Nothobranchius furzeri: one gene and its partners. The protein of the gene in region 1 purifies or fractionates together with the protein of each later gene. This does not show direct contact. Links are inferred from orthologs where the notes say so. Each region holds a gene or a part of one and is shown on either strand. Other genes may lie near its edges.

What was found.
Region 2: the proteins of cAMP-dependent protein kinase type I-alpha regulatory subunit (region 1) and dyrk1ab purify together in Homo sapiens (affinity purification with mass spectrometry; 6 studies listed by BioGRID and IntAct, with this or other methods). This does not show direct contact. The link is inferred for Nothobranchius furzeri from reciprocal best matches to the Homo sapiens genes PRKAR1A and DYRK1A.
Region 3: the proteins of cAMP-dependent protein kinase type I-alpha regulatory subunit (region 1) and vapal purify together in Homo sapiens (affinity purification with mass spectrometry; 3 studies listed by BioGRID and IntAct, with this or other methods). This does not show direct contact. The link is inferred for Nothobranchius furzeri from reciprocal best matches to the Homo sapiens genes PRKAR1A and VAPA.
Region 4: the proteins of cAMP-dependent protein kinase type I-alpha regulatory subunit (region 1) and akap11 purify together in Homo sapiens (affinity purification with mass spectrometry; 3 studies listed by BioGRID and IntAct, counting the BioPlex papers as one, with this or other methods). This does not show direct contact. The link is inferred for Nothobranchius furzeri from reciprocal best matches to the Homo sapiens genes PRKAR1A and AKAP11.

Annotation. Positions count from the first base shown.
Region 1 is NC_091756.1:28,743,342-28,751,065, reverse strand, and holds part of cAMP-dependent protein kinase type I-alpha regulatory subunit, read left to right. Parts: intron 1-1,013; 5' UTR 1,014-1,109; intron 1,110-1,262; 5' UTR 1,263-1,291; coding exon 1,292-1,465; intron 1,466-4,472; coding exon 4,473-4,643; intron 4,644-4,734; coding exon 4,735-4,826; intron 4,827-4,931; coding exon 4,932-4,993; intron 4,994-5,079; coding exon 5,080-5,126; intron 5,127-5,211; coding exon 5,212-5,370; intron 5,371-5,442; coding exon 5,443-5,503; intron 5,504-5,699; coding exon 5,700-5,821; intron 5,822-7,724. UniProt on the Homo sapiens protein: Regulatory subunit of the cAMP-dependent protein kinases involved in cAMP signaling in cells.
Region 2 is NC_091753.1:50,164,352-50,172,828, reverse strand, and holds the start of dyrk1ab (dual-specificity tyrosine-(Y)-phosphorylation regulated kinase 1A, b), read right to left. Parts: upstream 4,558-8,477; 5' UTR 4,420-4,557; intron 3,977-4,419; exon of another isoform or gene 3,817-3,976; intron 2,885-3,816; 5' UTR 2,828-2,884; coding exon 2,818-2,827; intron 1,376-2,817; coding exon 1,179-1,375; intron 945-1,178; coding exon 852-944; intron 503-851; coding exon 314-502; intron 124-313; coding exon 1-123. UniProt on the Homo sapiens protein: Dual-specificity kinase which possesses both serine/threonine and tyrosine kinase activities. Exhibits a substrate preference for proline at position P+1 and arginine at position P-3.
Region 3 is NC_091751.1:42,883,535-42,891,750, forward strand, and holds the end of vapal (VAMP (vesicle-associated membrane protein)-associated protein A, like), read left to right. Parts: intron 1-2,843; coding exon 2,844-2,924; intron 2,925-4,052; coding exon 4,053-4,226; intron 4,227-5,229; coding exon 5,230-5,391; 3' UTR 5,392-5,463; downstream 5,464-8,216. UniProt on the Homo sapiens protein: Endoplasmic reticulum (ER)-anchored protein that mediates the formation of contact sites between the ER and endosomes via interaction with FFAT motif-containing proteins such as STARD3 or WDR44.
Region 4 is NC_091754.1:39,457,814-39,465,991, forward strand, and holds the start of akap11 (A-kinase anchor protein 11), read left to right. Parts: upstream 1-3,198; 5' UTR 3,199-3,342; intron 3,343-6,906; exon of another isoform or gene 6,907-7,104; intron 7,105-7,189; exon of another isoform or gene 7,190-7,266; intron 7,267-7,381; exon of another isoform or gene 7,382-7,482; intron 7,483-8,178. UniProt on the Homo sapiens protein: Binds to type II regulatory subunits of protein kinase A and anchors/targets them.

The DNA of each region.
Region 1 (7,724 bases):
GTTAATCTGCCAGCTGTGAGTAACTCTAGCCGTATGCCTTTCATGAGATGCCTTCCTGACATAGACGGTGCTACAAACACGAGATTTCCCCATTACTTTCACTAAAGGCGGTTATTCAGTTTAACCATTTGTTGTTATTGTGATGTAGACTATCATCTAAGCTTTTGTGTGCAGTTCGTTTTAAGCAAGGTCATTGCCCATGACAGCTGTTTGTTTTAATTTTTAGTAGACGTGCATTGACAGAAGAGGACATTTTCTACAGCACACCAATCAAAAACACTTATTTCACGTGTAAATTTAAAACCTGACCAACTGGATTTGGTTCTTGAATAAGGTCTAGGTGCGCTGCTGGTAGGTGCTGCTTGTTTACACCAGTGTGAAAGCAGAGTCTCCTCAGCCATTCAGTAGTTTTAGTAGTAGGCAGGATTTAAACAAGCCTGCCAAGTTTGCGCTGTACGTCTAGATTGTTACATAAAGTCTTTCGCCAGGCTCGTCTTTGATAACATGACTGTTAATCTACCTTGGCTCTTGTCAGATTCGAAGTTATTCAAATCCTATTATGCTCTTGTACATGGTGCACATCAGAAGACCTGCAGGCCCAAAATGGATTGTTGTGTTTGTCCTGCAGGACTTGTTGTTCCCACATTCACTCTACTAAAATGCACACATTGATTCCCGTCAGAGTTTAAGGCCATTCCTGTTTTAGAACACACAGCTAGATTAAGCTCAATGCTAGACGAAGAGCCTTGTATCAGCGGTTCTGATCAGTTTATCTGTGATCTGTTAAGCGGTTTTGCTCAGAAACACTGTGTGGCGAATGATGAAAACTGTGTACACTTCCTTTTATGGCCTGTTTAACAGCTGATTGATTTACTGGCCCTCATTTCACAATTTGTCTATATTTGGGCTTTGGTGCACCAGCTAGGCTTCTGTAACAAAGAGTTTTATTGAGGAGAGCTTTAAAATGCAGTTTGGTTCAAGTAAACTCAGGACAGTGCATGTGTCTGTTTCAGTCTCGTTATTTTGGATCACATATGTGTGATCGCATCATCTGACCAGACTCCATAGTGACAAAACAGCACTCCATCGCTCTGCACCTTCTCACTCTGGTTTGAATTTTCTCACGTTCTCCTGCTTTCAGTTTGTCTATCTCTCACTGTGACAAACGTACACACTCACTATGTTATAATCTGGAGTTAACTCCCCCCAAAAATGTTCAGTCTTGATTTGACATCTAGCTCCTTCTCTTCTCCGGCACAAAGGTTAGAGGTCACACAGCAGCATTGTCACCATGGCATCTGGAAGTACGAGCAGCGAGGAGGAGCGGAGCCTGAGGGAGTGCGAGCAGTATGTGCAGAAACACAACATCCAGCAGCTGCTGAAGGACTGCATTGTCCAGCTGTGCACCTCCAGGCCAGACAGGCCCATGGCCTTCCTCAGAGAGTACTTCGAGAGGCTTGAGAAGGTTTGTGTGTACTATGGTTCTTAATATTGGTCACTGAATGCTAAACATTACACATTCTTACATCAGGTAATCACAGACAACTAACATTTCTGTACACTTGCTCTAATTTCCTTTGATGCTACACTCCAGTTTCCCTCCTTTTTCCGGAATTATGTTTGTTTTTTACATCTCCATAAAAGTGATAGTCTTACGCTTTTACTGTGATATAATGTAGGCAACACATCTGTTTTTGCTAAGCCAGCCCCATCCTCTAGAGCCCCATGCAAATTGAACTGAGCTCTGCTCAGCATTAGCCAATGGCGTTAGACATCTTCCTACTGACGGCAGTGACAGAACGCAAACATTTGAGATGTACCTAGACTGGTGTAATTGGTGACATTTCTCATGTACAAGTTAGTCTTAACACACGCACGCACGCACGCACGCACGCACGCACGCACGCACGCACGCACGCACGCACGCACACACACACACACACACACACACACACACACGAACGAGGGGCGTTGCTTCCATCCATATTCACATAAGTAAAGAGGGGGTCTTAAGGTGCTTCTTTTTGCTCTAGATCAGTGGTTCCCAAACTTATTTAGCCGCGCACCCCCTTCTATGTCTCTCTCTCTCTCTCTCTCTCTCTCTCTCTCGCTCTCGCTCTCGCTCTCGCTCTCGCTCTCTCTCGCTCTCTCTCTCTCTCTCTCTCTCTCTCTCTCTCTCTCTCTCTCTCTCTCTCATATATATATCAGATGTCAAGCTAAACAGACAGGGTTAAAAAAAAAATTCCCCATCACTTTCATTTTTTAAATAGTAATTAATAAACATTCGATACCATTTCAATTTCCTTTGATTTCATTTTAAATAAATATTTAGAGTGCCCAGGTAGCACATAAAAAATGCAATTGAACGGTTTTCTTAAAGTAGGAACGTTTAACCTGTGCGGCCAGAGCGCTCTCCTTCCTTCTGTTCTGCGTAAACCTGAGCTGATCACCTGCTTGTGCGTAATCAAATGTCAATAGGGGACAAGATATAGCCATGATGTTCACTTTTACCTCAGACCGACTTATTGCTGTTTTATGGTGTGGCTGAATCTGTGATCCGCTGCCACGCTGACTGGAATAACACATGCTGCAGTAACAGGAGTTGTGGTCAGGTTCATGAGGAGTCACTGGCTGTAGCGGACCCGACTCATCCCAGAAGCTAATATCTTAATTTGACCTTGAATGAAAAATAACCTCTTAAAAGTTTTTATCGTGGTGGAGGCAGCGTTCATTTCTGCCTTCAGTCTGACGGCGCGCCGGAGTTAAAGCAGCGTGCGCGCTTATTGAATCTGTGTGTGTGTGTGCGCGCACGCACGCGTGGCACAGCCGCTCAAGTCACCGCGTCTCGTTATTGTCGCTATTAAAACTTCTGCCCAGCCCAGATGTGCTCACATGTGCACCCGTGAGCCGTGACTGGAACGCGTCTGATCTCTGACAGACGCACTCTGAACTTCAGATCTTCAGCGCGCTGTTAATAGCCTGAATGGGAATCATTTCTTGTTATTTTGTTACATCCACAATGTTCTGTGTGTGAGGTTTACAATGTCAGAACACCTGCATGAGACAGGGTGTTAATTACAATCTGCCAGAATGACTCACCACCTTCAGATTCCTCCAACACCGTTAAAAATGATCAAATACGGAACATATCGGCGTGCGCAGGCCAGAGTGCTGAAGCTCGGTGCATTGTTATTATGAAGCTAGGGCACATGTGGAGGACACGCGCGCAAAAATATACTTGTTTTCAATTACATTTATTGGGCCCACTTACTTTTTCTTTGGCCCACCCACAAATGAGTTTCTACAATAATGGTGACATATGACAGACTTCTCTGAGCTCCGCAGCCATTACACTTTTCACCTCGCGCACCCCCTAGCGGCAGCTCGCGCACCCGCACCACACTTTGGGAATCCCTGCTCTAGATGGTGCTCTCCAAAAAAAAACAAACAAACAGATTTTTACTTAAACTAATAAAAAATATACAACCATATAAAATCAAATTGTCAGTTCAACCCATTTAACATTTTTATTTTGAATAAATTTAGGGATGTCCCGTTCTGATATCGAAAGTAATTCAATATTGACCCAAAAACATTGTATTGTGAATTATATCGGACGGCAACAAAAATCTCCGATATAAGCGGTCCGTTAAGGTTCACATTTTAGCAACCAATAGTTTTTCCCATTTTTCCATACTTACTGTTATTGGCTTTTGTTCTCCGATTGAGTAATGTCACTTGATCAGAAGTGAAAAAGTTGAATCGGGACATCACTAAATAAATGATCTGGTGTAGTATTTGTGATGTCATCAATACAAAACAGAAATGGCTGTAAATGTTAGGTTTAACAGAAAATGTCCTAACTCTAAAATCAGTAAACCACAGCTCTTCTATTCGTTTTTTTCTCCTACAGATGTGCATGCATACGGGTTTTTGTATTTTTTGGATGGTACGGCTCCCATTAACCTGAAAAGGCTTACCTCATGGCTCGGCCACTTTGGTCATCAGAGGATCATCGTCGGCTAGCAGAGCCTACACACTCAGGACAATCCAGACTCTTTTCATGTGTCGTTCCGCAGGTGTGGAAGGACATACCATGCACGACTAGAACAGGGGCTTCCTTGTCAACTTTCAAGAAACTCCAGCTCTTCAGAGAGCATCTTCTAGACTAGGACCCACCCTGCACCCATCCCCCACTCTACAGTTCACTCCTTGTTCACTTCCCTTTATGATTCATTATGCTGCCTCTCTGCCACCACGGGTGACTGATTAGTGTTTTGTTGTTAGCCTCAAGGGCAGCCTGCTGGCTTCATTATCACTTGTAAGTTGCTATGAACCAAAGCAGCTGCTAAATACATAAACATATTTAGAAATGATGTTTGAGTGACATCTGAACCCTTGGAGGTTTATTCCACATCGGTGGCTGATGGGGCTGCATCCTGGAACACTAGTCTTCTCTTTGACTCCTGCAGGAGGAGGCCAAGCAGATCCAGAGCCAGCAGAAAGCCAGCAGTTCCCGCTCAGACTCTCGCGATGAGGAGGTGTCTCCACCCATGAACCCCGTGGTAAAGGGTCGCCGACGAAGAGGAGCCTTCAGTGCAGAGGTGTACACAGAGGAAGATGCAGCCTCGTATGTCAGAAAGGTAGTTTAATCACTCCAGTGTGCGAACCGTATTGTAGTGATTCTGATGATATCTGATAGTAAAATCTCTTTCTTTAATTCTATAATTACAGGTCATTCCAAAAGACTACAAAACGATGGCTGCTTTGGCTAAAGCCATTGAAAAGAATGTGCTGTTCTCACACCTGGATGACAACGAGAGAAGGTACCGGGCCATAGATCGTGTTTATTTGAAGCTTTTTCAAGTGAAACGTGGATTTTAAGTTATTTGTGTTCATCGGATCAACTCACTGGTGTGTTTTATCCCCAGCGACATATTTGATGCAATGTTTCCAGTCACTTATATTGCCGGGGAAACTGTCATTCAGCAGGGTAGGAGCACATGTTTCATGTGTTATCTAAAATATTGACGATATTATGACCAGTGCGATACTAAATGTATTGTTCTATGTGTTCAGGTGATGAGGGTGACAACTTCTACGTCATCGACCAAGGAGAAATGGATGTGAGCATCTTTACTTGGTTTTCTAACATAAAGACCTTTGTTGATCCTTTTCTGAGGCATGGTTCGTACCTGTCTGATTCCACAGGTGTACGTGAACAACGAATGGGTGACCAGCATCGGCGAGGGGGGCAGCTTTGGAGAGCTGGCACTGATCTACGGCACCCCGAGGGCAGCCACCGTTAGAGCCAAGACCAATGTGAAGCTGTGGGGCATCGACAGAGACAGCTACAGGAGAATACTGATGGTGAGGGAACTTCTCGTCGACTCTGTGGATCATCTCACGGAGTTGGAGTAACACCCACCCTCTTTCTTTCAGGGAAGCACTTTGAGAAAGAGAAAGATGTACGAGGAGTTCCTCAGGAAAGTGTCCATTCTAGGTGGGTGTGTTTAGTTCTCATCAGCTGCTGTGTAGAAGTTTAAAAATAAACACGGAGTGGAGTTATTGGTGTTAGATCTGGAGTTTAAAATAACATGAAGGTGTATGTAAAAATATATCTAGACATAATCAGAGCGGGCTCAGCCTTTTGTGTTATCATGGTCTATCAGATCAACATCTGTGTTCTCCCTCCTCAGAGTCTCTTGATAAGTGGGAGCGCCTGACGGTGGCCGATGCCTTAGAACCCGTCCAGTTTGAGGATGGACAGAAGATCGTTGTGCAGGGAGAGCCAGGAGACGAGTTCTTCATAATCTTAGAGGTTCATGCACAACCCAATATACTCATGGCTGTCGGTGCATTAAAACGTTTTATTTGTGATTAATTACAATTTTTAAATGTATCATCACATGATATTTCTCATGTTTCCAATGTTTTTATAAGAAGTAGGAGCAGAGAAACCTACTTCCTTTTGGCGAACGATGACTAATGCTGTCTAGGACATTTTATAAAAAGGTTTTACGTCTAAAGGATACTGCACGCTCAAAATGCAAAAAGTTAATTCATAAGCAGCAAGTCCACCTCCCAGTGTAGCACAGGGGAACATTAGAGCTCCTCAGACTTCATCCTCCATGATGCTAATTAGCATGTAGCTTCCCTCTGTTGTGGCATCTGTTAGCTTGTCTTGCTTCTGTGGATGTCCAATATCATCGGTCTGCTGATATTATCAGATGATTTTTGCTTTAAAGGGTAATATCGGAAAATATTAGTATCGGTTTTTACCCCTTTAGTGATCCAACTTTTACACACCACGCACATATTACACATCAAACTCTTTGGCTTCATCTCCTCTCTCTCATAATGCCAAAATATGACAGATCTGATGATTAGTTTTGAGATATTTTGGTTTTATTTGGCAGAACTTGTGGATAATTAGGAATTTGCACCGTGTGGGGAGGATCTGCCGTCCTTAGAGCACGTAGCAGCTAGCAAACACCCAAACACAAGAATCTTATCCCCAAGGCTCGTGTTTCTTAAATGACGATCGTTATAAATGTTTTATCAACATAACTACAATCTACAGAAACCAAAAGAAATACATTACTGACTGACGCACACATCTTAGCTTAGCAACTAGCCTCGCATAGCATGTGTACGCTCACGCTGCTTACACTTTATCAGCTAGGTCACTTTAACACATGCCCAAACATTCCCTAAACAAATAGATACTTACAAAGACAAATGTTCTCCAAGGCGCCCACGTTAAGGCTAAATCAACGTGTTCTTGATGACCCGTTAATTCTCTAGTTTCTGCTTAAATGTAGGATGTAAACACACCGGCAGCTAAGGCACAGAGCACTCGCTCTGTCGTGTTTTGCTCAGACAGTTTAACAAAGATTGTTTGAAACAGTGATGTCTCACTTTGATCCATTTCCAAAACCTAAAACATTTGAATCTTTTTATCACCTACTAACCTAATCAACCTTTTTCCCATAATGAACTGGATAATTAATTGAGGCCTAAAGGCGTCACAGAGCGTTAGTCCAGATTATCTCAAGGAGAATGTCTTCAGCTGCTTCTTTTATCTATTACTAACATGCATTGAAGTTGTCTGCAATTTTGCATGGATAATGTTTAAAGCAGGGGTCGGCAACCTGTTCCCATCAAAGAGCCATTATTACCCGTTTCCCACAGTAAAGAAAACACTGGGAGCCACAGCAGCCGCGGCGTTGTGGGCGGGGCCTACCCTCAGACAGCAGAGAGCTGCTCACAACAGGTGACAGCAGCCGGTACCGGTCGCTCGTGTACGTCAAAGCTGTCTTTCATAAGAAGATTATCAATAAAACGATTTATATAAAATGGATCCAGAAGTTGTAGCCCGTCTCTGCCTACAGGATTTTGATATTTTTCACCCTGTTGGTGGTTTTACTGAGTTTCCACTTTTGTCATACATTTCTTTTTAAAACATGTTTAGACTGTTCAGAATACAAATCCAGGCTCTGGTTTGATTGTTGTAATTGAACTTTGTAGGTGGGGAAGGTCAGAAAAGGATCCGATCATTCTGTTTTTCCCTCATTTACAGCGACGGAGACAACGGCGCTGTGCGCCTGGCTCTGGTGTTAATCAAGTTAAATTATATCTCTTTGTAACAATTTTCACAAGAAAACAGAACAGTTAAAAGCAGGGCTTGTGTTGTGTTGACCGGATAGTTCCCGTATTTGGCC
Region 2 (8,477 bases), on another chromosome or scaffold:
ATGTTTGTTCATCAACTCCAAGAGGCGCACTTCTATCTGGGCTTGATTGAGGAAAGCTTTCTTGTTCTTGATGATCTTAATGGCAACCCATTCCTGCTCGACTCGGTCATACGCTTTCACAACCTAAACACGCCAACGACAAACAGTTTACAGTTTGCTCAGCATGAAGTTTTTACGGATTAGTTTTGATATTAACGTTTAGGGTCAATAATCACAAAAGAAAATGTACAGAAATGCTGGTTAATACTTTTAGAAAGAACATTGTATTCTTATGAATCAAATAAACGTTTGAGTGGAACTGATAGTGAAGCACCTGTCCAAACGATCCTTTTCCTATCAAGGAATCAATTTCATAGCGGTCCATCCATTTCTCCCCATTCTTGACGATGTAGTCATAGTTATCATCGTCATAGCCATCATTGAACACTTTCCTCTCCTTTTTATGACTGGAGTCTTCACCCTGACCCTGTTGGTGCCGTCGCTTCTTTTTTGCATAATACACCTGTAAGTTAACACATTACATCCCATAACCACACACACAAGTCTTTGACGAGCTAATGAAACACACAATGATCTTTGTTAAGTTGAATCTTCTAATGGATTATTTTATCATGATCTCACCAACATGACTTTGTTTTATTCAATAAAAATGCAGTAAATTAAAACATGTTGCATTTTGTTTCGTCTCAGCAAAAGTAAAAATCTAAAAGACATTTAAAAAAAAAGCTGCAGTAACTTTAATTGTAAGCATATCCAATATGATTAAAAGTATAGCTGGTTAACTCTTTCAGCTGCTAAAGTAAATAATTAGTTTAGATTTAAATGCATCAAAACAAACTAAAAAAACAAACCTCATTGATGTGTTTGTATGTTTTGATAAGGTCGATGGAGAGCTTCCTCAGGGGAGCTGAAGTTGGGTCACGAAAGCACTGGGGCATGTGCCTCTGGAGTGTCACAGGTAAAGTATTCATGAACAAAAAAACACACGGCAATTTCATAAGAAACAGCATCCTCTTGAATCATTGCAAGTAATGATGGTTAACAAGACGTGATTAAACTGAAAGTGACATTTGACATGTAGCTGCTCTGCCTAGTGACAGTAGAAAAAGGGAAGTAGGCTTTGATATTGGACCCAAAACTGTAAAACCTTGAGGAGCTATGTGGTGGGGTTCGTATACCTGATTGGCAGTGAGCTGTGGTGTCTGGTCGCTGTACGGTAAGACTGTAACAGATTGGTCAGTGCTTGGCTGGTGGCGGTCACTGTACTGCTGGTGCGTATGGGGCATTGGAGCAGCCATCTGAAGACCAGCAGTGTGTAAAGAAAAAGAGGGCGCAAGCCGGACGGACGAAGGTTTGCATGCTGAAGTCTCTCCTCCTAAGAGAAAAGAACAATGTTAGGGAATGTACTTTCACTTCAATCCCCAATATATAAACTGACAAATAACATTAAGAAAGAAAAAGTTTATAAAAAAATGGTATGTTATATTCTCATTTTCATGCTAAACATTTTTTGCATTACAGTTAAAATAAGTGTCATTCAGACTGTACAGATTTAATATAAACTTCTCATTTTTACTATTTCAAAAAAGCAACAAAAACCCTTTACACCTTTACAAAAATGCGCAATTTTCATTATGAATAAAATATATTTATTTATAACATGCATGTTAAAATAAGACAGGTCTTTAATAAATCCATGTTAGGAAAAAAAGGCACAGTATCTGAATTAATGTTTAGATATTGCATTTTAATGAACATGTTAACCAAATCTAAATTGCATGAAAAGGACAGCAAAAATAAAACAGCAGCAATGTATCAACCTTTGTGAAGAAAAGGGAGAAAACGGTAGGTTTAACAGTGAGAAGGGGCGAGAATACAGCATCTCCACACTGTACAGTGAATCATCCTTCATTTTAAGCCAGAAGGAATCAAAAAATTATTAAATAGCATGTTCAGCTATCAGCATCTCTCACCAGACAACACAATTCACCAGCGCTACACAGTAACCACTATTCAGAATCCCAGCAACAGCACCTAATTAGCATAGCCTATCACCACAGAGATACAGCGTGATTTGGCAAGCCCATCAATGCACAGACCAATCACAACGCAGTATGCAAATAGCCTACTTTTGTTGCCAGGGCAGAGCTGCTCCCATTTTCCAATGAGAAAACAAGAAATAAACAAGAAATAAAACTGAACTTTGGCACACTTAGACGTTGCTTTCAACACAAGAGCTTGACAGTAAAATAGCTGCACAGCCTAAAACCTGCACTTCATCTGAGAGCGTTAGAAAGCTGACCCAGCTTTGGAAAAGCAGAAAATACACATCCACTGACAGAAACAAGAGGAACTGTAAAGTGATAGAGCACAGACAACAAGGTATTTGAGAGCCAAGACGCATCTCTTTTTTCAGCCACTATAAATATGTTAAAATACACATTTATACCTTTTCAGAATGTAATTTAAACAAATTAAAAAGTGAATTACACTTAAGATTATATTAAATATTTGTTCATCTTATGAGCTCTAAATATATCCTTATTATCCATCATGTCTTTGTTACTGTTTATCCTGCTGTGTAAAATAAATGTTACCATTATAACCTAAATAACTAAATAAAAACTACCATCAACAATTTAAAAATAATAACTACAGTCCCGGGCAGTTCAGATTGTGTGACTTGGTCCTGCTCATGATGACTCATAGATGTTAAGTCTTGAGGCCAAATTCAAAACAGCAACATAAGTTAGAAAAGATCATAAGTGAACTAGTTTTCCCCAGCAAAGGGTTAAAGCCTAATGTACAGCTGCTAACCTGGATGCATCTTCTGTTTAATTTCATATCATCCTGGGAGGAGAGTCCAGCAGCAAACCACAACCCACTACAAAGAATAAAAACACTTTATTATAATTTTGCATTTTGGGTGGGATTTAACATCACTGAGATTAAACCTGAGTTAAGAATCAGTGACAGATGGCCACCAAAGATGATAAGGGACCCCCAAAAACTTGTAAAAGTGAGCTGGATGTGAATGCTGTGGAAATAAAACAACTTAAAGCATATTTTAAAAATGTGTGTTAAAAGTTTTAAATTTCAGGTTTTAACTATGAGCTGCTTGAGATTTTAATGAATTAAAATTCAATCGCAAAGCTGTAAAACGGTTAAAAAAATAAATTAAACAAATCAGAATTCACATTGTTGTGGGCCTTGAGGCTTTAGCTTCTTTTAGTATACTCTAGGGTAAAAATGTTATTTAAACGAGAATTTTAGCTTTAAATATACACCAATAAAATAGACAACTGTTCGTCTGAACACAACTATATTTAGTGTACAGGACTATGTAATTTTACAAAGAACTGGAGGGAAGTAACTAGTTTGAGAGTGCTTTACTTCTATTAGACAGTCTTGAGACTTGATTTTATTTAAAACGTTTAAACTAATTGTAATACAAGTAAAATAATAGTGGTACAAAATGCCAATTTTTAGCACACTTGTAGCTCTTTAGTCTTTTCCTAAACGTCTGCTTTATCTTATTCTTCAGTACTAAGAAATGAACAGTTCCTTTCTTGGCTCTGGTCATTATGGCATCTGTGGGCCTATTTATGTGTAAATATATCGACAGCTAGCTTGATATTAGAAGCCGAATCGTACAAAAGGATGCTTAAAGATCTCTGTAACAAGCCCCGTGTGTCATCCTCTCACGCCCAACTGATTAGATTCATTCCAAAGATGGATCAAACATAACCGATCCAAAACAATTAAATGCTAAACGTTCGCGGGGAATAAATATATACCGAGTCGGTCTGTACTTACAGATGATAAGGTAGATCTCGTCATGGTTGGAATTTAGAAAGCATATTCAGTGTTAATTTTCGTCTTCTCTTGCTTACATATTGTTCGTGAGGCAGTCCAAATCCTCAAATAGATGATATTCCCCGTCACGTTACCGCTAGCGGACTAACTAGCTATAACGCTGTCGTCGTTACCCTGAAAACTGCGGGGCAGATGAGCATATCTCTCACCAGCCCGACGTTAGCTAGTGACGCTGTGTGCAGCCAGCGGGCTATGAGGCCCATGCAGTAGATCAAATCGGGGAGGTAAGCTAACACGGCTTCAATCATACAATGACAGGACCCAATATAGCACGGTTAGCAGGAACATTAACACCGTGCCATCACGACTCTCCGTCCAAACTCACAGTCAGCTGGAAATTCCTTCACGTTCAGCATTAAAACCCGTCTCTTGACCTACTGACTGTAAGCAAACGTTAACCCTGGCTCCACAAAATCTCTTAGCCGCCACAACTTCACTACCGCCTCCATCATTGTTAACCATTCACGCTACATGGGACATATATACGTACGAGAAAAGCCAAATTAACGCAAATGTGAAATAGAACAGTTTGGATCTGCTTACCTCTAATGGCACGATCTTCATTTAAAGTCCAATAACCTGTATGATGAGGAAACTTATCCAGCTTGATTCTCCACCTCCCTGCACGGTTAGCGAGTAAATCCAATCCCCCGTCCTCTGGCCGGCTAAAATAACTCACCAGTCACATCTAGTACGCGCTTCATTGTCCAAGCCTTGCTGAGCAACATCCGTGATCGAAGTAATTTCATCAAACGTTACTATCAGCTGATGACCAACAACATGCTAACTAGCACGGGTAACTTACTGGCTAACCTTAGCTGGTTCACAAAATGAAGGCAGCTAACATCAGCTAGCTCCTTTGACTTAGCCTGAAGCTAACGATTCTAGCCACCGCTAAATAAACGTTATGCCAAATTCTGATTTAACGCTCGTCTTTGCGACTGAAATGTCGGTCACCTCGATGAGCGGCGACAACGCGATTACATCTAGTGCATTTTAAACACTAAGCAGAAGCCGTGTCCTCTGATAAATTTTGGTTTGGAATTTTGTGTCAATTTTCACAAAATGGCGCGCGGTCCAAACCTGCGCAGTGAACCGGCCCGGTGGACCAGAGACACGGACAACTGAGTTAGTGCGGCACCGCCTAATTATTTCAACTAGGTTAAAACGTCGGGCTCTTTGTCTTCTTAATAATCCGATCCACTAGACGCATCTCGATATCCAAAAACGTCAAAAATATATCCACTGACAGCATTATTCCGGCGGGAAGGGAGAACATTTGAAAAGACTGAGCTGGGGGGGAAAAAAACCCTCCTGACAAAATGGCGATGCTCTAGCTTGTTGCTATGGAAACTGTCAATCAAAAAAGAAAAAAAAAGAGAAAGAATACCCGGATGTGCCAATGACGAATAAATTCGGAGCTGGCCAGAGTTACAGCGCACACAGGAGTCCAGCGGTGCCCCTCTCCGTGTTTTTAACCTCATTCGGCCTGTTGCTATTTTTTTTGGATGACGATGCTTATTTTATTCCGATAATATTTCACTATGTGGTGGTTCCTCCTCAGCATATTTTAAATCCAATAATGATGATGATGATGATGAAAATAATAATAATAATAATAATAATAATAATAATAGTTATATTTAAGTAATATTATCTCAGCAAAACAAATAAATGCTGAAAATTCTATTTTTAATAAACAATTAGCCTATTAAGTACCAACACAAATGACTGTTATTGACAATATTGAAATTATTAGCACGTAAATTAAATTTGAACAGGATCATCAAATCTGCAGTCCTTGTTCTGTACAAAAAATTTAATAATTAAAACTAATTTAAGCTACAAGTTTCAGATGACTTCTAACAAATGGAAATGTTATGTTATTATATTCTAATTTCTAACCATCCATAAATGTTTTTTTAGCTAAAGGGTAAAATGTTGATATAAACCAAGTTTATGTGAAACCAAATAGCTATCTATAACTGTATTTTTGTTTGTTTTCCCATGAGTACATTATACCAGAGGTGTAGAATGGAGCATGGGCACAATTATGGTGTGAGGACGGGGGGACATGTCCCCTACATTTTCCCATAAGGCAGTTTCGATTCATTAATGATTACTACCTCTTCTAGTTTTACTGAAATGAGGTAATGCTGTGTTATTTTTATTTTAATGAAGTTCACTGACCAGACATTCTGAAAATTCTTGTAAAATTTGGTTTCTTGGAACCCCCCCCCCCCCACACACACACACACACTACTCCTCATTACTTCATTGGACACGAGTCACATGACTTAGAGAAGTCAGTGGAGTAAGTTTAAAAAATATTAATAATTAGTGGATCAGTTAATTAATGAAATAACTAATTTTGCCAAATTAATGTTTAGGATTTTGAATTAAAAGTTTGGTACATGGACTTGACCAATATGAACATGACCTAATTTATGACTCAAGAGGAAAGACTTGAGACCGCTTAGCTAACATTATTATTAAGCTAATTTTAAACATTTGGTAACACTTTACAGCAAGGGTATATTTATTAAAGTTACTTATTGTATTATTAAGCATTAATAAACAAAGGATCTCTTTATTAACATTATCGTTAACTATAAGGTGTCCTTAAGGTTGGGATGAAGGGCAGGGAGGGGAAGGGTGTCTACTTGGTAATACGATACATAACATGGTTAAAGAGCAAGTCACCCCCTACCAGAGTCTTACTCCACTCCCAATTCCTGTTTGAAAAACGCAAAAAATGCAGTTGCTTGGCAGACCGAAAGGACAGAGCCGCTAACAACTAAACACACATAGGCTCACAACGACATTGTGATCTCATGATGTACTAGCTGACATCATAGTGTACTTCTTAGCCAATAGTGATGGTAGATTTAAATTCAAATGCAGTGCAGAGTTTTTACCTGACGACGGCGCAACAGTGACAGTTTTAGGCAGAATATTTCAATTTTAACTAAGATGCGCTAAAGTGCCAAATTATTGACTGCATGTGTTTGCAGCACACTCAGACACTCGTTTATATAGTTTATCAGCAAAAACAAGTTTATTTGGGGGTGACTTGCTCTTTAAGCAGTTGTTTATACTTTATTTATTGGTTTATTAATGCTTAATAACACACTAACATTAATAAAATGACCCTAAGTGTTACCAAACATTTACATCAATGTGATTTTAAAAGTGGTTCTCGGTGAAACTGAACCTGTTTACCCGGCTAAAGGTCACTGTCCAAATATAAGCTGTACCTGTTTATTAGTATTTTACACAATCTGATTCTGAATCAACATTAGGTGTTTCCCCAGTGAGTCGTGGAGGATGGCTGCTTATACTGAGCCAGGATTCTCTGGAGGTTTCTTCCTGTTAAAAGGGAGTTTTCCTCTCCACTGTCGCTGCATGCTTGCTTAGTATGAGGATTGCTGTATAGTCACTGACACTAGTCAGTGACTTGATGCAATTTGCTGGGTTCCTTATATAGGAAACATTATTTCTGATTGGCTTAATGAACTGTGAATTGGAATGTTTATTATGTGAAGTGCCTTGAGACGACTCTTGTCGTGATTTGGCGCTATATAAATAAACTTGAATTGAATTGAATTGAATATATGTAACAACCGATGGTAACAACTGATAACTGCATGTTAGGCATTTAAAAAAAACTCCAAGTCCAGTTAATGTTAATTGAAAATAAGTCCGTCTATTTAAAAGTGAAACAAGAACATTTCCTCACTTACTTTGTGACTCTTTCCAGATTCTTGCAGGTCCCGCGGCGTTTGAAGGTTTCAGATGTTAACGTTGACATAATCCTAAAACAAAACAACCCAACTGGTTCATTTCAATCATAAAAATGGTGTTATACTGCTCCCCAGTTTACCCCCAAAAGGCAAAGATGGCACAAAGTTTTCTTTCCTGCTGCCGATTTCCTAATGCACCCATAATACATTTTCCAACATTTCTTTGTATCTTTTCATTCCCGTTGTTTAAAGTGACAGCAAACATCACGTTAAAACAGTTTGGATTGATGTTTTATGTTAATAAAAGCTCTAATTACTGTTTAAAAGTGAGATTTGGATTAAAAGTGATTTAAAATGTAAAATCTCAGAAACATCTTTTAGTTTCTTGGCACGGGGGCACCACCAAGTGGGGACTGAGAGTGCCTTGTTGTTCTGGGTGCTTCATTCTTCATTTTCATGTACACATATAGAGTGAAGGACAAAGAGATATAGCTATTTATTACCATGCCACTTTTTAAAATCAGTAGTTTGTTTTATTAATGAAGACCATATGTGTTATTAGCCTATAAAACTTTAAAGATCTAGAAGCAGTATTATATAATGTGAAAGGTTCAACTAAAAGCACATTTATGATAAAAGTTATGAATTAAAACAGCAGAGAGAAAAATTATAATCCACCAAACAGTTTTGTGTGTTCTGTGGCCAAAAAGGGATTGAAAACTAATCTTGTTGCATTAATTTACCCTAAATGAGAATTAGTTTTTGTTTTTATTGTGAAACTAGCCTCGTTGTAATAAAAATGAAACAGACAACCCCAAAGAAATGACAAATGAACTAAATCATTTCTATTGTTTAGAT
Region 3 (8,216 bases), on another chromosome or scaffold:
CTGACAATAAATCGACCCGTTTAACAGGCAATGTCAGCAAATTAATATTTCTATTAAAGGCACAAAGACTTAACATGAACCAGTTTCTTGGACAAAATTAATGACAAGTAAAGTTTTATTTTAAATGTTGTTTTGACTTTAAATATTTTAAAGGTGAGGAACACTGAAAAAACATTTTTAAAGTCATATTTCTGATTATTATCAGTCACCCTGAGTTTTTAATACAAGCTGAATGTAGTCTTCTACACCTATCTCTTGTGTTAGCTTCTGATAGAAAATAAACGGTGAAACTCTAGAAATCCTGACAGATCTTTGTCGCATTGTCCCTTCACGTTCATGGACTCACCTATCTTCACTTGCGATGGGGAAGGCTGTTTTTGGTTTAGCGTCCAGGAAACTGAGAACATCTTGGCTGGTCGAAGCTAACCATTAGCTTTAGCAACTCACCCACACAGCAGAACTCCTCCAGGCTTGTGGTATTTGTGGAAATAGAACAGCAACTTTGCAAGTTATGAGTGCATTGTTGCACCGTGTGTGTGTGTGTGAGGGGTTGTATGAACTAGTCGCTGTTACGTGATAATGAGTGACAAGATGCAGTCCTCGGAAAAGACAGCAGGTGACGAGCCCCTGCGCATCAGGAGGCAACGCGCTGTGCCAGAGCGTCGGTACTGACACCCGCCGTAAAACAGACATTTAACCAAATTGTGACCTTTACCCTCTTGCAATTTAACCTTTCCCTCACCCCCATCCTAACCTTAACCAGCTTGTGCATGCAAAGCTCTGATCGTTGACGCGCTCCAGACATCTGCGTCCTGAGCACGGCCACAGTAACATTATCAAACTAGGTGTCGCCACCTCAAAAACAAATTTAACACGCGATCGTTCATGTCGGCTCATTTCCTTTTATGTGTTCTGTCTTTTATTTGTGCCTGATGCTTTTCGCTGCTGTGGAGCGGGGCGTATCACCTGTTTCGTCCTCCGCTGACGCACCTCACTGATGCGGCCGGCGAGCAGCGCACACTCCGCTGATTTTGCGGCCGGTAGATCTTTTAGAACTGCAGTTCAAAGGTGAATATATATGAACCCAGGTAGCAGTTTTTCTTTAGGATTGAGAGGAGATGCAGGAAGATAATAAACAGACAGGACAGAAATATAGTCAAATAAAAACAAGTTTGTTTTTGTACCTGGTAGCAACAAACAGACACCATTGAAGGTAATCAGAAGTGAGGAACAGAAAATGAAATAATTATTTTAATGTTTAGAGCAGCAGGAACTCTGAGAGGCTGCAGGCGCATCAGTGAGTTTGTGGCCGCTGCGCAGCGGGAGGTGGGAGAGCTGAAGCAGAGCAGTAAAGATGCAGAAACTACCGTTGTTAAAGGAGATGTGTTTAACTTTGAAAATGTGGGCGCAATTTTACAGCATCTGTCTGCATTCCTTCCATCGTGGGGGTTGTTGTTAGCAGCTCAAGGCTGCCTTGGCGTCAGATTTGGATAACAAGACTTTGTTTGGGTCAGGCAGAGATAATTTTCCTCTCTGCCTTGAAGTCTGTATTGATCATTCCAGTCCTCCAGTGAAGCCAATTTCAGGTTTTAAACATCTCCACACCGTCCAGCGACCCTCTCCGAGATGACATCCATTTGGCGCACTAATACCGGCAACGCAGCAAGGACATTGTCCCGCTTACGGTTCACCTCGAGTAACGTCCCAGTCTGTGAGGCATCCGCCCGGGCGGTGCTTTCCATGGGTGCGGGTCGCACTCCAATCGCTCCCGACTTCCCAAATTTCCAGAATACCAGATATCCTCCTACTCCAATCAGAAGAAATCCAGTGATTATCCAGCCAAATATCCACATGTCTTCAACATCCTCAATGGACAACTGAGAGAGACATACGATCCTCCAGACCTGCCAGGAATCGAGCGCATATCCCGCTGCGTGTGTCCCTTGAGGGCAAGTGGGAGCCCCCTCCTCCGTTCTCATCGTGGAAAAGATCTTATCAATCACGTTGAATGACCAATTAATTAAATCCATTTCTAAAAAATAGGGATTTCCAGAAGAAATGCAGAGAAGTGCTCTGTAGGCAGACAGGACAAAGAGCCTTGGGGAAAAAAAGATAAGGGAGCAAAAAGCAGAAGTGTCTGCACTCTGCTATTTTTGACTTTTCTGAGCCTGTCAAGTCCTTCTTTTGACCCATTTTGCCAAAGGAAATGTAGTTGCCTAATAATTATGCACACCTGATATAGGCTGTTAATGTCATTAGACACCACACCCCTTCTCATTACAGAGATGCACATCACCTAATATGCTTAATTGGTAGTAGGCTTTTGAGCCTATACAGCTTGGAGTAAGACAACATGCATGAAGAGGATGATGTGGACAAAATACTCATTTGCCTAATAATTCTGCACTCCCTGTAGAGACAGCTGACACAAGAGGGGGTGGTTGTTTTGCTGTTTCTTTTCAGGACTCTTGTGATGTTCCTCGATAATACAAAATGGTACAAAAGGGCCAAAATGCTGACAAACTATTTTGGTTGTCATATATATTTTCTAAGCTATGTATTATGGCCCATATTATTTTAGGTGTATTCACCCTTTGTCCGCCAGAGGGCAGCAAAAGCTTTGCAACAATTAAATAAAGAAGATCTTGTAGTTTTCTCTGAACTGCTTTATGACAACTAAATATTCTGCAGTTGTTCTGTTTTAATTGACTTGTATAAATTAAACTTCCATATAATCATTTAACTACTATAAAGCTGTTTTTGTAGTAAAGTCAGATCTTCTGTGGGTTTGAGTTGATGATTAACTGCATCGTTTTCACTTATTTTTTTTCCATTTCTACCAGTGGAGAGACGCAAAATCTGATGAACTCATGGATTCCAAACTGAGATGTGTCTTTGAGCTGCCTTCTGAAAATGATAAAGTGGTAAGAGGCGAAAAAACCCATCCATCCGTCTGTCCGTCCGTCCGTCCGTCCGTCCGTCCGTCCGTCCATCCATCTTCATCGTCATCTGCTTATCTGGAGTAGAGTCGCAGGTGCAGTAGCCTAAGTCGAGAGGCCCAGACTTCCCTCTCCCCAGCCACTTGGGCCAGCTCCTCCGGGGAAATACCAAGGCGGTCCCTGGCCAGGTGGGCGACATAGTCCCTCCAACGTGTCTTGGGTCTACCTTTAGGCCTCCTCCCAGTTGGACGTGCCTGGAAATCCTCACCAGGGAGGCGTCCAGGAGGCATCCTGACCAGAGGAGCCAGTTGAGATGACTTGGGCATCTGGTTAGGATGCCTCCCTGGTGAGGTTTTCCGAGCACGTTCAACTGGTTGGAGATCCAAGGGAAGACCCAGGACACCAGCGAGGGACTATGTTTCTTGGCTGGCCAGGGAACGCCTTGGGATTCCCCCGGAGGAGCTGGCCCAAGTGGCTGGGGAGAGGGAAGTCTGGGCCTCTCTGCTTAGGTTGCTGCCCCCCCAACCCGACCCTGGATAAATGGCTGAAAATGGATGGTTGAGAACCAGTTGTTAAGTCAGCTGCAATCTGCATTTTTCTTTTTGACCTAAAATTTAATCATCATTTTTCTGTAGGTGACAGATAATTGTTGCACAGGCATTCTGTCTGAAAATGTCCAAAAAATACTTTTGAAGCAGTTTTAGATGAGATTTTTGATTAGTGAGGCAAAATTAAAGACAAACGTAGAGCTAAAAGCATTTTATGACATTCCAGGAACCCTTTTGGAAAACCTTGTGGACACACTCTCTACCCTTTAGTGACAGAAAAGGTTTTTTAATGTTAAGTTGTTCCAGTGGTAATAACCTCTGTATTTATGGCCAACTTACGATACAGTAGTTGTATTTCTGTACTTCTACAATGAAGTTCTCTATTTTCCCATGTCGTCATTTTGGCTGTCTCTCAAACAAAACCACATCAAGTGTGACTTTCTCATCTCTTTGATCCAGCACCATGAGCTTGAAACAGTGCCTCTTTTCTACTACATATTCTCACATTGGGTCAGGCTATGCTAGATTTCACCTCAGTCATGCTTCTCCTCCTCTCGTCGTGCAGAATGACATTGAAGCAACAAGAGCAGCCCCGGCGATGAACTCTGTGAAAGCAGAGCCGACATCAGCAGCTATGCCTGCTGCTGCAGATGATGCTGAGATGAAGAAAATGCTGGAGAGGTGCAAGAGGTTGCAATCTGAGGTCAACAAGTTGTCTGAGGAGAACCGGCAACTAAAGGTCAGACGGGCAGATGAATCGGATTGTGTAAAGCACTGGCTATTGCTGTTTAGCCGAATGCTGAATTTTTTCATCATCCACGGTGATGCTGACGTGCACAATTCGTTTGTAGCATCAGTCGAACAATTAGGAAGACAATACTTCATAATTTCAATCTTGCAAAGTTGGGCTATTGGATTAACTTCGTAAAAGTACTAATACTTTGATGATATTTTTCTCAAGTACAATTAAATTACCTGCCTAAAATTTTACTCAAGTAAAAGTAAAAAGTTGTTTTAATAAAATGGCAAAATAAAAGTTAGGGTTGAGGTCAATAATCAGGCAAACAAATAACCTTGTGCCTCAAACCTACATAAAAACACACCAATGAAAGTAAGGTCTAGTTACATAAGATGTGACCTAGCTACAGGAAATAAATAATTATCAATGTAAGTATAATGAAAACAACATCACAACAGAATTAAAACAAACAAGCAATCATTGCTTTTGGGTTTAACCGGTATGCAGTACCTTCTGCTCTTCTCGGTGTCTCATTCTGTTTAGACGCTGTAGTTTTTTAATCGCAAATTTTTATATTTATTAAAAGCCAATAAACATATTTTATACTCTTATGTGGTGAAGTACAATACATTTTAAAGAAACAGCTTAATTACAGTAACACCGTAAACATTAGTAATCCGTTACTTTCCTCCTTTGCCCCCTCTGCTTTGGCAAAATCGCCAACTTTTGGCCAAATGTCCCACCCCTTATTCTCACATTTATTTCTTGACCCAATTGCAATGCAGTATATTGTTGACGCATCACATCGCTGATTAAGTTAGGAAAATGTCTAAATATCATCTGTGTGAAATGCCCATAGTCATTTGTTGGATTGACGAATACCGATTTTTACGTGTAGCCCAACCTTATAATCTAGCTTCAATTTTTTGATTAGACGTTTTAATAAGAACAACCTAAATCTCAAATGTGTAGTCCATCTTAAATGTTTCATATTTTTCAACAGGAGGAAGGCAATAGAATGAGAAAAATGCCCCGCTCGGACCACATGACGTCAAACTCAACTAACGTCCTTGGCCGGGAAAATAGCGTCGCCTTTCTGCCCTCTCTCCTCGTCGTCATAGCAGCCATCTTCATTGGATTTTTCTCTGGGAAGTTCATCTTGTAGACTGGAAGATGCATGCCAGCCGTGTTCCCTGCTCCGGCTTCTGAGAAAAATAATGAAATAAATAAAGGCCTGGAAAAAAGCAAGAAGTATTTTGTTGACTTTGCCATATCATTGATTGTGTGGCCTACAGTGAACACATCTGTACAGCATCATTCAACGGCATCGTCTTTTTTCAATCTCACACTATTGTTGCCCCCGAGAGTTGATTCAAGAAGGTAAACCTAAACAATTAAGTACTCCCCTTTATGGTTCTCACGCCTTTTAACAGCTGGTTTACAGTTTGATGGGAAAGTAAAAGTTAAGTGTCACCCAAAAACATGGAAGATGCAGACAGGCGGAATTGCACAAGGCGGCCCAGATCTTATTCCTTTCTCTCCATGATGTCAATAGGAATAGAAAGGAATGTTAGACTTCCTGTACATGTTAGATTTAACTGTAAAGGACAGAACCGTTTAAGCAGACCTTGTTGCTGGATTACCTCTGAAATTAATTTGTAATTTTTGTCTTCTTTCTGTGGGAATGTCCAGGTTCAGCTGGGGATATAGGTGCCTCGTTCTTGTGCATTTGTCCTGTTGTTTTCCTTACAGCACCAATGCAGACTATTATTATTATTATTATTGTTATTATTATTATCATTATTATTATTATTAATAACCATACCACAGCACATATTCCTTCTGAGGCAAATATTTACTGAAAATGTGGTTTTCATTTTTAAAATTCTGTTCCATGGTATTGATCACTAACTAAATAAAATAAAATATGTGGTTTTCATTGCTCTCCTTTTCTGTGTCAATGCATGTACATCCGTCTTAATATTTATTATCAACCATTTATTTTCTTTTTTTGTTTTGAGAATTAAGCAGTGGAATTTCTGCACCTCATGATAGAAAACCTGCAACAGAGACCATGTGTCATTAATAAACCGCAGTGAAAATATGCTATATTTAAAATAGTGGTAGTAGCTAAGAAGAGTAACAAAACTACCTAATTTTACCTTTATAGTGGGAAAGTTTATTCCAAGAAGGTCTTGAATAATGTTTGGTGATTCGATCTTTTACCAAACAGATTTTTTCACTAAATGTTTTTTTAAGTACTTTCATTTCTAGAACTTTAGGGCAAGATCTGCTGTTATAATTTGACTAATTTTAGGCCAATTATGAAAAGATTGCAGAGCTTTCTTTATACGATGCTTATTTTCTGTGAAGCATAAACCTCTGTCAAAGCATGTAATCATGTAATCAGCAGAAACTCCTGTAGAATCGTGGGAAAAGGCGTCCACACCAAACTGGCTGGGGTTCTGAATGTTGAGCCCTTCAGAATAAAATATCTGTTTTTGAATGTTTTTCAAGTGTCAGAAAATGTCTTTCATCTGTGAATTTTTTATAACTACAAGCAAAAAAATCTTTTAAAAAACAGGCTTTTAAATGTTTTGATTTTTGTGTTTTTGCTGTTCCTAGAAATATTTGGACAGTAACATGATAGTGTTAACTTTTTCCACAGTCATTGCACAATAACCAGCTTTAAAAAAAACAGCTGTCTTCTTTTGCAGCTTGTTGGATCCTCCTACCTTGTGTTTGTCTTTAGTGAAATGCTCAATTTAGTTGATCTGATTACTTATTGCACAATATTCCAATTTCTTGCTGCCCTTTGCAAGGACTGTTTTTGTTTTGGGTTGTTGTCCACCTATGAAACGCTTAACAATAATTTGGCTGTTTCTGTTTCCTGTCGCATCATCAGACATGACCACAGAATGACACTGCCTCCACCGTGTTGTACTGCACTATACGTCTAGATGTTAAATGGATTACACTTTGAGATGAATCCTCTGTATTGGCTTTCATGGAGTTTTTTCCTAATGATGGATACTGATTCATTCTTGCAGAGTTTTCCTCACTTGGGTGAATATTGTGACTGTGATTCTTGCCCACTGACGAGCAGGTCTTTTTGAGTTCACTAAAGTACTAAAGGTGTATATATACCGGTATCTAAAATATTCCCACACAGGAGACATTAACCACTCCCTAGGTGGAAATGGAGTAGTCCAGATGGTTGTCACTGGTTCTTTTGCGTGCACGAGTTCAGTTTCACTTTTGTTTTTGCCTGTGCTTGTTTTTTATAGGCGGTGTTGGAAACGTCTTTACCGGGATTAACCTGGGTTAATAGTCAAGCCGGTTAATCCCTGCAACCCTAGCTGTGTGTGCTTACTAGCCTGGAAATTCATTCTACTGTATATGTGTGACTATATAGTCTGTCCACGACCCTTTGACAGCTCTGTCGTGGGGCGGGATCTACAGTTGTCTTTCAAACTGTCTCCACATTCTATTGGACAACAAAAAATGTGACGTACTCACCGCTACAGGTGTCAGTCAACGAGGCAGTATGCCATACATTTTCTTTTCCAAATAAACCTGGGTAACAATCTGCTCTTGACTCAAAAGCCCAAGTCTAAATAGTCCGAAGTTGATGCCAAAGCCATTTCAAGTAAGCCATCGCCATTTTAGTTTCACTCAATCACAGTACCACAGTACCAGCCTCCAGAGTAACCGGGTTCCAATAGAGCGTGGCTAGACCAACATGCAGAGCAAATTCCTTTTGCTTTAGCAACTGACTAGATTTCAAGGCCAGGTGTATACCACATCTGGAATAAACTTTATGAGGAGAAGGTTCATGCAACCCTTTGAGTTGTCTAAATTATCTTTGGTCCTTTAAAACAAGGCCTTTCTTCAGTGTGGTTGGACAACCTCAAATTCGTGCTGAGATTAAGTACATTAAACCCAAATTGATTATATAATTGTACATTGAGTATGATTTGGTATAGCAAA
Region 4 (8,178 bases), on another chromosome or scaffold:
CAAGCCCAGACAACTCCATAAGAGGGAAGAGAGATGGACCTGAGGGTGGGGCTGTAAGGCTGGGATCGACTGACGACCCGGTCGAACTAGCTACAAGCTAACATGAAGCTAACCCAAAGCTAATGCGGAGGTGGGAACTAAGCTAACGGAGGTAGCAACCTAGCTACAACTGGAGTTAACTGTGCACAACACCAGAGCTTCTGAGTCAGAGATACGCCGGGCTGACCGCTGGGTAAAACCGGGTGGAACACAGAGTTCTCCGAGACCTCCACAAGCCGGCAGCCGCACAGCAGACAAGCACCGCTGCGATCTGAGATGCGCAGAGCTGCCGCTGGGGAGAACCGGGTGGAAAGGTTTCCATCCAAGAGCTCCACAAGCCGTCAGCCCGCGCAGCACACAGAAGCCGCGATCAGACAGAGATGCGCCGAGCTGCGGGGAGAAGTGGCGTATTTTGGCGGTTCTGGCTTGCCATAAGAACCAGCCGTCAGCCCGCGGAGCTAAGCTGCGATCAGACAGATGCGCCGAGCTGCTGGGAGAACCAGCCGTCAGCCCGTGCGCAGCAAACAGAAGCCGCGATCAGACAGAGATGGACCGGGCTGCGGGGAGGGGATAAGGGTGGAAAACATCGGTCTCCCGAGAGCTCCACAAGCCGATAGTCGGAACCCAGCTCCACCAACATGTTATATCTCAACCCATTTTCTAAAGTGCAGCATTATGTTAAATGCACTGGGTTTTACCCTATTACATTTAAATTTCATGGTTAGACAGTACATGTTAAAATCTAAGCTCAACTCGGCAGTTAACTAAAATACATAAATATAATTTTGAAAAAAATGAAGTGGAGACTCCTTGGACGCTCTATTAGTGAAATTAATGCCACAGCAAGTCATTTTGTCCAACAGTTGCACAAAAAATATCCAAACAAGAATACACAAACACAGAGACTCAAAATCCCGGAACAGTTTCCAAGCCAGACCGAGGCTCTACTGAGGCCTTTCCACGGCGCTAGCTTTGTGGTCACGTGGGTCTGATGCTCATTAATTATAAAGAATTTTAGGCTTTTAATACACTTAAACAGAAGAGTGAGAAAAAATTCACCCCCCTCAGAGTTGTCATGAGTGTAAACTAGATCATTTAAACCAAAAACATGTTTTGGTACCAAGCTGTAAACATGTTTATTTCTGCTGTGAAATTGGTATTTTTAACATGGGAGTCAATGAGGATTTGCTCGTTTCTGACACCAGCCCCCAGCGGATGAGAGTGGAACTGCAATTTATTTCACTTCTGGGTTTGGCTCAATTTCAGAGCTGCATTGTGGGGGCCTGGTAAATACTTAAGTTTGTAAGAAAAGTCCAACTTTTTTAAACTGTATGGATGATACCCTAAATTAAGTTGTATTTTTACGATATCCTCTCCATTTAAAGCCTTTGTATACTCGCTGACCTCCATCGCGTTGTGTTCGTTTTTTTTATTGCAGAAAAGCATATTTACATTACAAATAAGGCAAGCATGCCAATGTATTCAGATGAGAATCGAACAGTCAGTGAAAAGATCTTTAACAACTGACAGCGCCATAGTCTCCCCCTCCCCTCACGTCAAGAGTCTGTGTCATTCTTGACAGCTCACTTTCTTTTCAAGCTCACATTAATAACATAATTCGGTCAGCATACTTCCATCTACGTTCCATAAACCGTCTCCGTCCCTCACTGACCCCTCACACTGCCGCCATTCTCGTCCACAGCCTCGTCACGTCCCGTATCGACTATAGCAATTCACTTCTTTATGGTCTCCCCAACAAACTCCTTCATAAACTGCAAATGGTCCAGAATTCAGCAGCCCGTATTATCACCAGAACCCCTTCCTTTCACCACATCACCCCGGTTCTCCAGCAGCTTCACTGGCTCCCAGTTAAATTCAGGTCCATCTTCAAAATTCTCCTCCATACCTTCAAAGCAATCCACAACCTCTCTCCTCCATATATCTCAGACTTTATAAGTATTCACACCCCATCCCGTTCACTCAGATCTTCTTCTTCCATCCATCTTGCGGTTCCTTCTGCCCGTCTCGCTACCATGGGTAGCAGAGCTTTCAGCCACTCTGCTCCTCGACTCTGGAACTCACTTACCCCAGACATCAGGAACATCGACAGTTTTACCCTTTTCAAAACAAAACTCAAAACATATGTTTAAATCTGTCTACAACCTCTGATTTTATTGAACTGTTTCTCTCTTTGTTTTTTTCTTGTTTGGGTTTTATTATTGTTTTATTGTATTGTATCACGTGTTTTCTGTCAAGTGACCTTGGGTGTCCTCCTGAAAGGCGCTTTTAAATAAAATGTATTATTATTATTATTATTATTATTATAAAAGGGGGAGGACAAATGCAAGGGACCACTACACAGTTCCAGGAAGTCTACACAACAGTCTATACATATCTTCATAGCTGTTATTATTGATACATTTAAGGGATCTTAGATACAATCTAAAATCATGTACAAATGCATTAAACACAGGGGGTGATTTCAGTATTTTTTGTTTATGTATGAAGAATTTTGCCAGACAGAGAAGTAGATTGTAGCAGAGTTCTTGGTTGTTTGTTTGAAGGAGAGTTCCAAAGGTGATGCCATCTCTTGAAATGGGACATGGGATTCCAATTTGAGGTTGAATCTAGTTTTCAAAACAGTTCTAAAACGTCCGTGTCTTGTTGCATTCAAAGAAAATATGATCAGTTGTTTCAACATCCTTCCCACAAAAGGAACATGAATTATCATCAATGTTAAAACGTTTTCTGAGCACATCTTTTGAGGGATAGACATTGTTTAAAATTTAAAAATGTGTTTCTTTGACTTGCAAAACACTTCTTGCCCCATCCTGAAATTTCGCGCATTGTGACGTCACGATAGTCACGTGAGTAAAACCCAGCAATAGCCAATCATAGGAGAGTCTTTCCAGCCAATCAGAGGCGAGAAAGACGGGACCTTCCTTGGACATCCTACGATTCCAAATGACTCACATGGGGCGTCTGCGTGTGTCAATGGGACGAATCGGGAAGGAACGCGTTCGTGGGCCGTTCGGTTCATTTTCAGGAGCCATTTAAATCGGTCTGAAACAGCTGAACGGTTTGTGGAACGCAATAGAACTAAATATGATGTTAATTTTTCATCTCATCATAAATGTCTGAACTCCAGAAACGGTCTGGGTCCACGAACCTTTGCCAGTTATTCCCGAAATCCGTGTTTGTAGCAAGAGTTCAGATGAGTTCCGAACGAAAAGATCATTCCCGTACCGCACAGCATCCATCGCAGCGGCTCTGTCCAGCGGTTCTGGTGTCCGACAACGAGAGGTGAGTTGAATTTCTACTAAATACCGGGGTACAGTAACAAGAAGGTGGATCCGTTAGTTGTTTGAGCCACCAGCAGCTTCCGGTCTGCCTGCTGTCCACCTACGGCGGAGCTAAACCACCGCGGCGCGGCCTGGGTGAGCTCGTAGCTAGAGCCCAGCTCGGCTGCGGACGGGACTGGTGTCATTTCCTATGTCAGTGATGTTCGTCCGAACCTCTGTTGTCCTTCAGCTAGCATGCTAACTTCGCGTGCCGAGCTCAAGTCCGTGATGTGGGCTTAACGTCTGTCAGCACCAACATCCGGCCTGCTCCTGATCCAGGACCGGGTCCCTGGTCTCCGCTGCAGGACCGGGTTTCCAGCCCAGCTGACTTTCCTAAACGAGAATCTGGTGCAAAAGTTCGCTTATGTCAGTAATTCAACTTGAAAGGTGAAACTAGTGTATGAGACGGACTCATAGATACTTCGGGCCTTGATTTGTCATATCTGTGACGATTCTGGCTTCCAGCTGATGACAAGCCCACATAAACATCTCAGACCATCAGATTCTTGTGGAAAGGTTCACCATTCCAGACTCTGATCAGCTGATAAATCCAGAACACCTGCAGAGGGTTCCTGAGCCTTTAGACGGACTCCTGCTGTGTCATATTTGGCACAGATCATGGTTAAAGCTGCTTTAACACTAACCTGAAGTACATTCTCTATGCTCCTAAATCCAGCTGGTAATTAGAGTTAGGTATTATCCTGGTACACAATAGCACCAATGCACTATTCAGTATGTGTTCAGTACCTCGTACCAGATTTACATAGTATGTCCGTGTCTCTTACAATATGCTGCTCAGTTCTTCATTTTTCTATTTGTGGTTTTTAGTGCTGGAAGGTTCCCATGCTAGATACCTGCCTATGTGTGTATATATACACGTGTACCGTTGTATTATTTCTCTTCAGGCTAAGTGTTGGTGCTGCTGTAACAGGTGGATGTCCCCACTGTGGGATCAGTAGGGTCTATTCTATTCTATTCTAGAATCAGCCACTCTTGTCTGGCCATCAGTCACTTGGAAATGAAAAAGCAGAGATTTTTCCCAGTCCTTGAACTCAGCGTTGCTAATCATAACTGAGAGGTTCTAGCAGTGTGCCTTAGGGCCGGGCTCACTGGGCCAAAACTTAAGTCTCAATATAACGGAGCTGAATTTGCTTAAAACTGTCTTCAGTAATTGTATGTTTAAAATCATCAGCAGATTAAATGCATACCGGTATGTAGCGGGGTGAATATTGTTGCTTTTAAGCTTAATATATTACCTTTACTCATGACCAATAAGCTGTGATATAGGATATAACCTGCTTGGTCTTTGGATGTTTAATCAGAAGATTCTAGGATTCTTTGCTTTTTCAGTGATCAAACACACTTCATCTCAATTCAGACAGATTCAGGTTTATAAAAGATAAGAAATGTATTTTCTAAACAAATTAAAACAAGACAAGTTAAATAGGACGACTGTGATGGTTGAATCTAAATGGATGGAAGGTGAGATGTATGGAGCTAGGATTGGGACAATATTCAGCGTAACTTGTGCCAAGTTTTGTAACTTGGAACATGTTTCATCACATGTAACTTTGGATTCGTAACTTGTAACTTTAGTTTTATAACTTGTAATTCTCAATTTGTACTTGTATTTCTTGTTTTGTAACAAGAACATTGTATTTTGTACATGCATTTTTATTTTGTAAAATCAAACTTTAATTTTGTACATTTACTACTCATTTTGTAACATCAAACATTCATTCAGAAACATGAAACTTTCGTTTTGTAACTAGCAGACTTCCAAATTAAAAAAATCAAGGTACACGTTTGAAATCAAAACTCTCAAAACACACATTTCATTCTACAGGTACAGACCTCAAATCTGTCTCGATTCTAGCGTCAGTGGGAGGAGCTTGGGTGGAACCAATGAGAGCACGAGTCTTGGCTACCAATCACGTTTCTCGAATTCCTGTCCAATCATTGGGAGAGGAGGGCAGGGTTCTGTCAGAGCTGTAGAAAGAGAGTTACAACACTCTTTGAACTCGCGGTCACGTGGTTCATGGAGCTCCCAAACATCACAGCGCCGTAAGTCAGTTTGAACAGCGTATGGTGGGACAATCACAAAAATTTAACCTAATCACATTTCCCCTGGCGATTTGTGGTAATTATTGAATAATATTATATATTATATTAAATATTATGTCCTAACTCCTTCACAAAGTAGCCAATTTATATTTTTCCGAGCATTTGTAGGAAGACAAACACCCATGACTGTTCTACATTACAGGAACACGACAGTCCTAACACACTGTAGAACACATTTAGACCACATACATTACTATAATATATTATAGCAATACATTTGATGTAGTAATGCAACACACTGCTCTAATATAAGCATATTTAATAACTTTAAGTCCTACAAGAATCCCTAAACTCGAGTTGTAATATCCATTTTAAAGTGTTTATTGAATAGAATTCTGCTCCAGCTTACCTTGAAGAAAATATGTATCTGTTTATGCTTTGAATGATATCTATTATGTTCAGTAGAATACATTTTACAATCATTACTTTATATTTTTATGTGAAGACAGTACATGCATCTGTATCCAGTTCTATAGCAACTAATTAAAAATAAATTTTCAATAAAACTGTATGATTCATCACAGTAGATAAAAAGTGTTATTTGTGGAAAAAATGAACACCAAACTTGTACATGTATAATAGCATTTTTAATAAAGCATTTTACCAACATTATGTTTAGTCATTACATATGCACAAATAAGCTGAATCATTAATTATGAGCAATGTACTCAAGACCTAATGAAGCTCTTTTGAGTAACTTTATTTTGATTATTATTAAAATAAAATGTGTCCATGGGTTAAAAATTGAAATGGCTAATTTTATGGTTGGATAAAATTTTTAAATGTAATTTTACATCTCTATATTTTTGGTTTAGTTCAGTATTTCTATATGTACAAAAATAGTATTTTAATAATTGCTTTATAGGTTGATTATCTTACCTTGGTTGGCTGCGCTGCATATAGCAAACAGTCTGAGGGAGGAATCAGAATTATGGCTTACCCAAAGATGCAGAGAGAAGAAGAAAATGGTTGGCTCAAGTCAGCAGGAGCAACCTCACCATGACCAGAGATCACAATAACAAAAAGCTGTGTGCAGTGAGTTTAATGTGCACTCTCACATGTTTTCTATCAAGGCTCTACATGTTCTGCTCTCAACTGCACAAGGCTGCAATTAAACTGTTAAACGTGGCAGGAAATAAACTAATACACCACTCTACAGGCACATTTTGAGGAGGGACAGTTTACTAAGACTAGGCAAGGCAAGGTGAGACTCAGGGCTGATGCTGTGTTTGTTCATCGCCCTGAACCAAGGAGGAGGAAGGACCCCGCAGTGAGAAGTACAGCAGAACCACTGCATGTTGATCCACTGACCAGTGACCACAAGTACTCAAGTAAACTGTGGTACAAATCTTTTGAAATATTAAGACATTTTTATATATTTTATTTTAAAATTATTCTTTATTCTAACAGTGTCATTATAATTTCAGAGAATGAGGAAAGCAGCAGCAGCAGTGAGGCAAATGAGGTGAGGGAAAGTGAGACGGGACATGAGATGGTATCAGGAGAGAGGGACATCCCAGGAAGCCATGAGGAGCCGGCGTCAGGGCCAGGATGAGAAAGGAACAGGCTATGCAACCAGGGTACCCAGCTGGAAAACCTACTAAGAGAGGAAACAGAAAATCAAAAAGGCATGAAAAACACATGAGGCATTAAATGGAGTAAACAGACAATCAAAAAGGCCGTACAGCTCTGTTTTTCAGTGGGTTCAACAGGCTGCAGGTTTCTTCAGGGCATGAGTATCCCTCTGCCTGATGTTAGAACCCTGCAAAGACAAATGCAGCCCATTAACTGGAACCAGGTGTGTTAGGAGAGGTGTGTGACATGCTCAGTTTGAAGGTTAAAAATCTGACAGAGATGGAAAGAGAGTGTGTGCTCACTGTGGATGAGATGGCAATCACTCCAGGCGTGCATCACTCCATCACAGACCCAACTGGGATTTGCCACCACCGTTGTTCCTGGTCAGCTCTCCGCTCAGCCACTATGAAAACATGAAGATGGACACACAACACAGTTTAACCTTTAATGGTTACATAAGATCTTTGTTTTAGTTACTCTTTGACATTTATTTATTGATAGTTGTGTTATAAATTCTTATTTCTTGTCATTCCTTAATAACAAAATTGCAAATGCTAATATTATAAAGCAAGTGGAAATGAACAGTTTTATGGAAAATGTCTAATTTTTAAAAGTTATTGTGTTCGACTACCATTCTTGAAATATCGTAATTTTATTCTTATTACTTGGGTCCACAGAATAAAACAACATATCTTCTTACGTTCGTGATCCTGTTTGTCTCATGCTTCAGCAGTTTGTTGTAGTCAGTGTTATTAACTGAAAAATATTAAATAATTACTTGTCTTCACAATCACATTGTCTTTATTATTGGTCTCTCCATTTGTGCTTCCATTTCTGATGCATGTTTGTGTTGATACAGCAACCAGCAACGTATTAAACAAAAAATCCCAAATAAAACTAAAAATGTAAAAAGTTTATAACCTATTTCAAACTGTGGGGAATATTTTTAAAACGTAGAATCAAACAAACTGAAATACAGCTCGTCCTCCTGCTGACAACCAACAAGCTGCACACAGTTAGCTCATTAAAGGTTATCTAGCTAAAACTGGCAACATAAAATATCATTGTTGGCTTATTTTGGTACGAAGCGGTTAGCTAA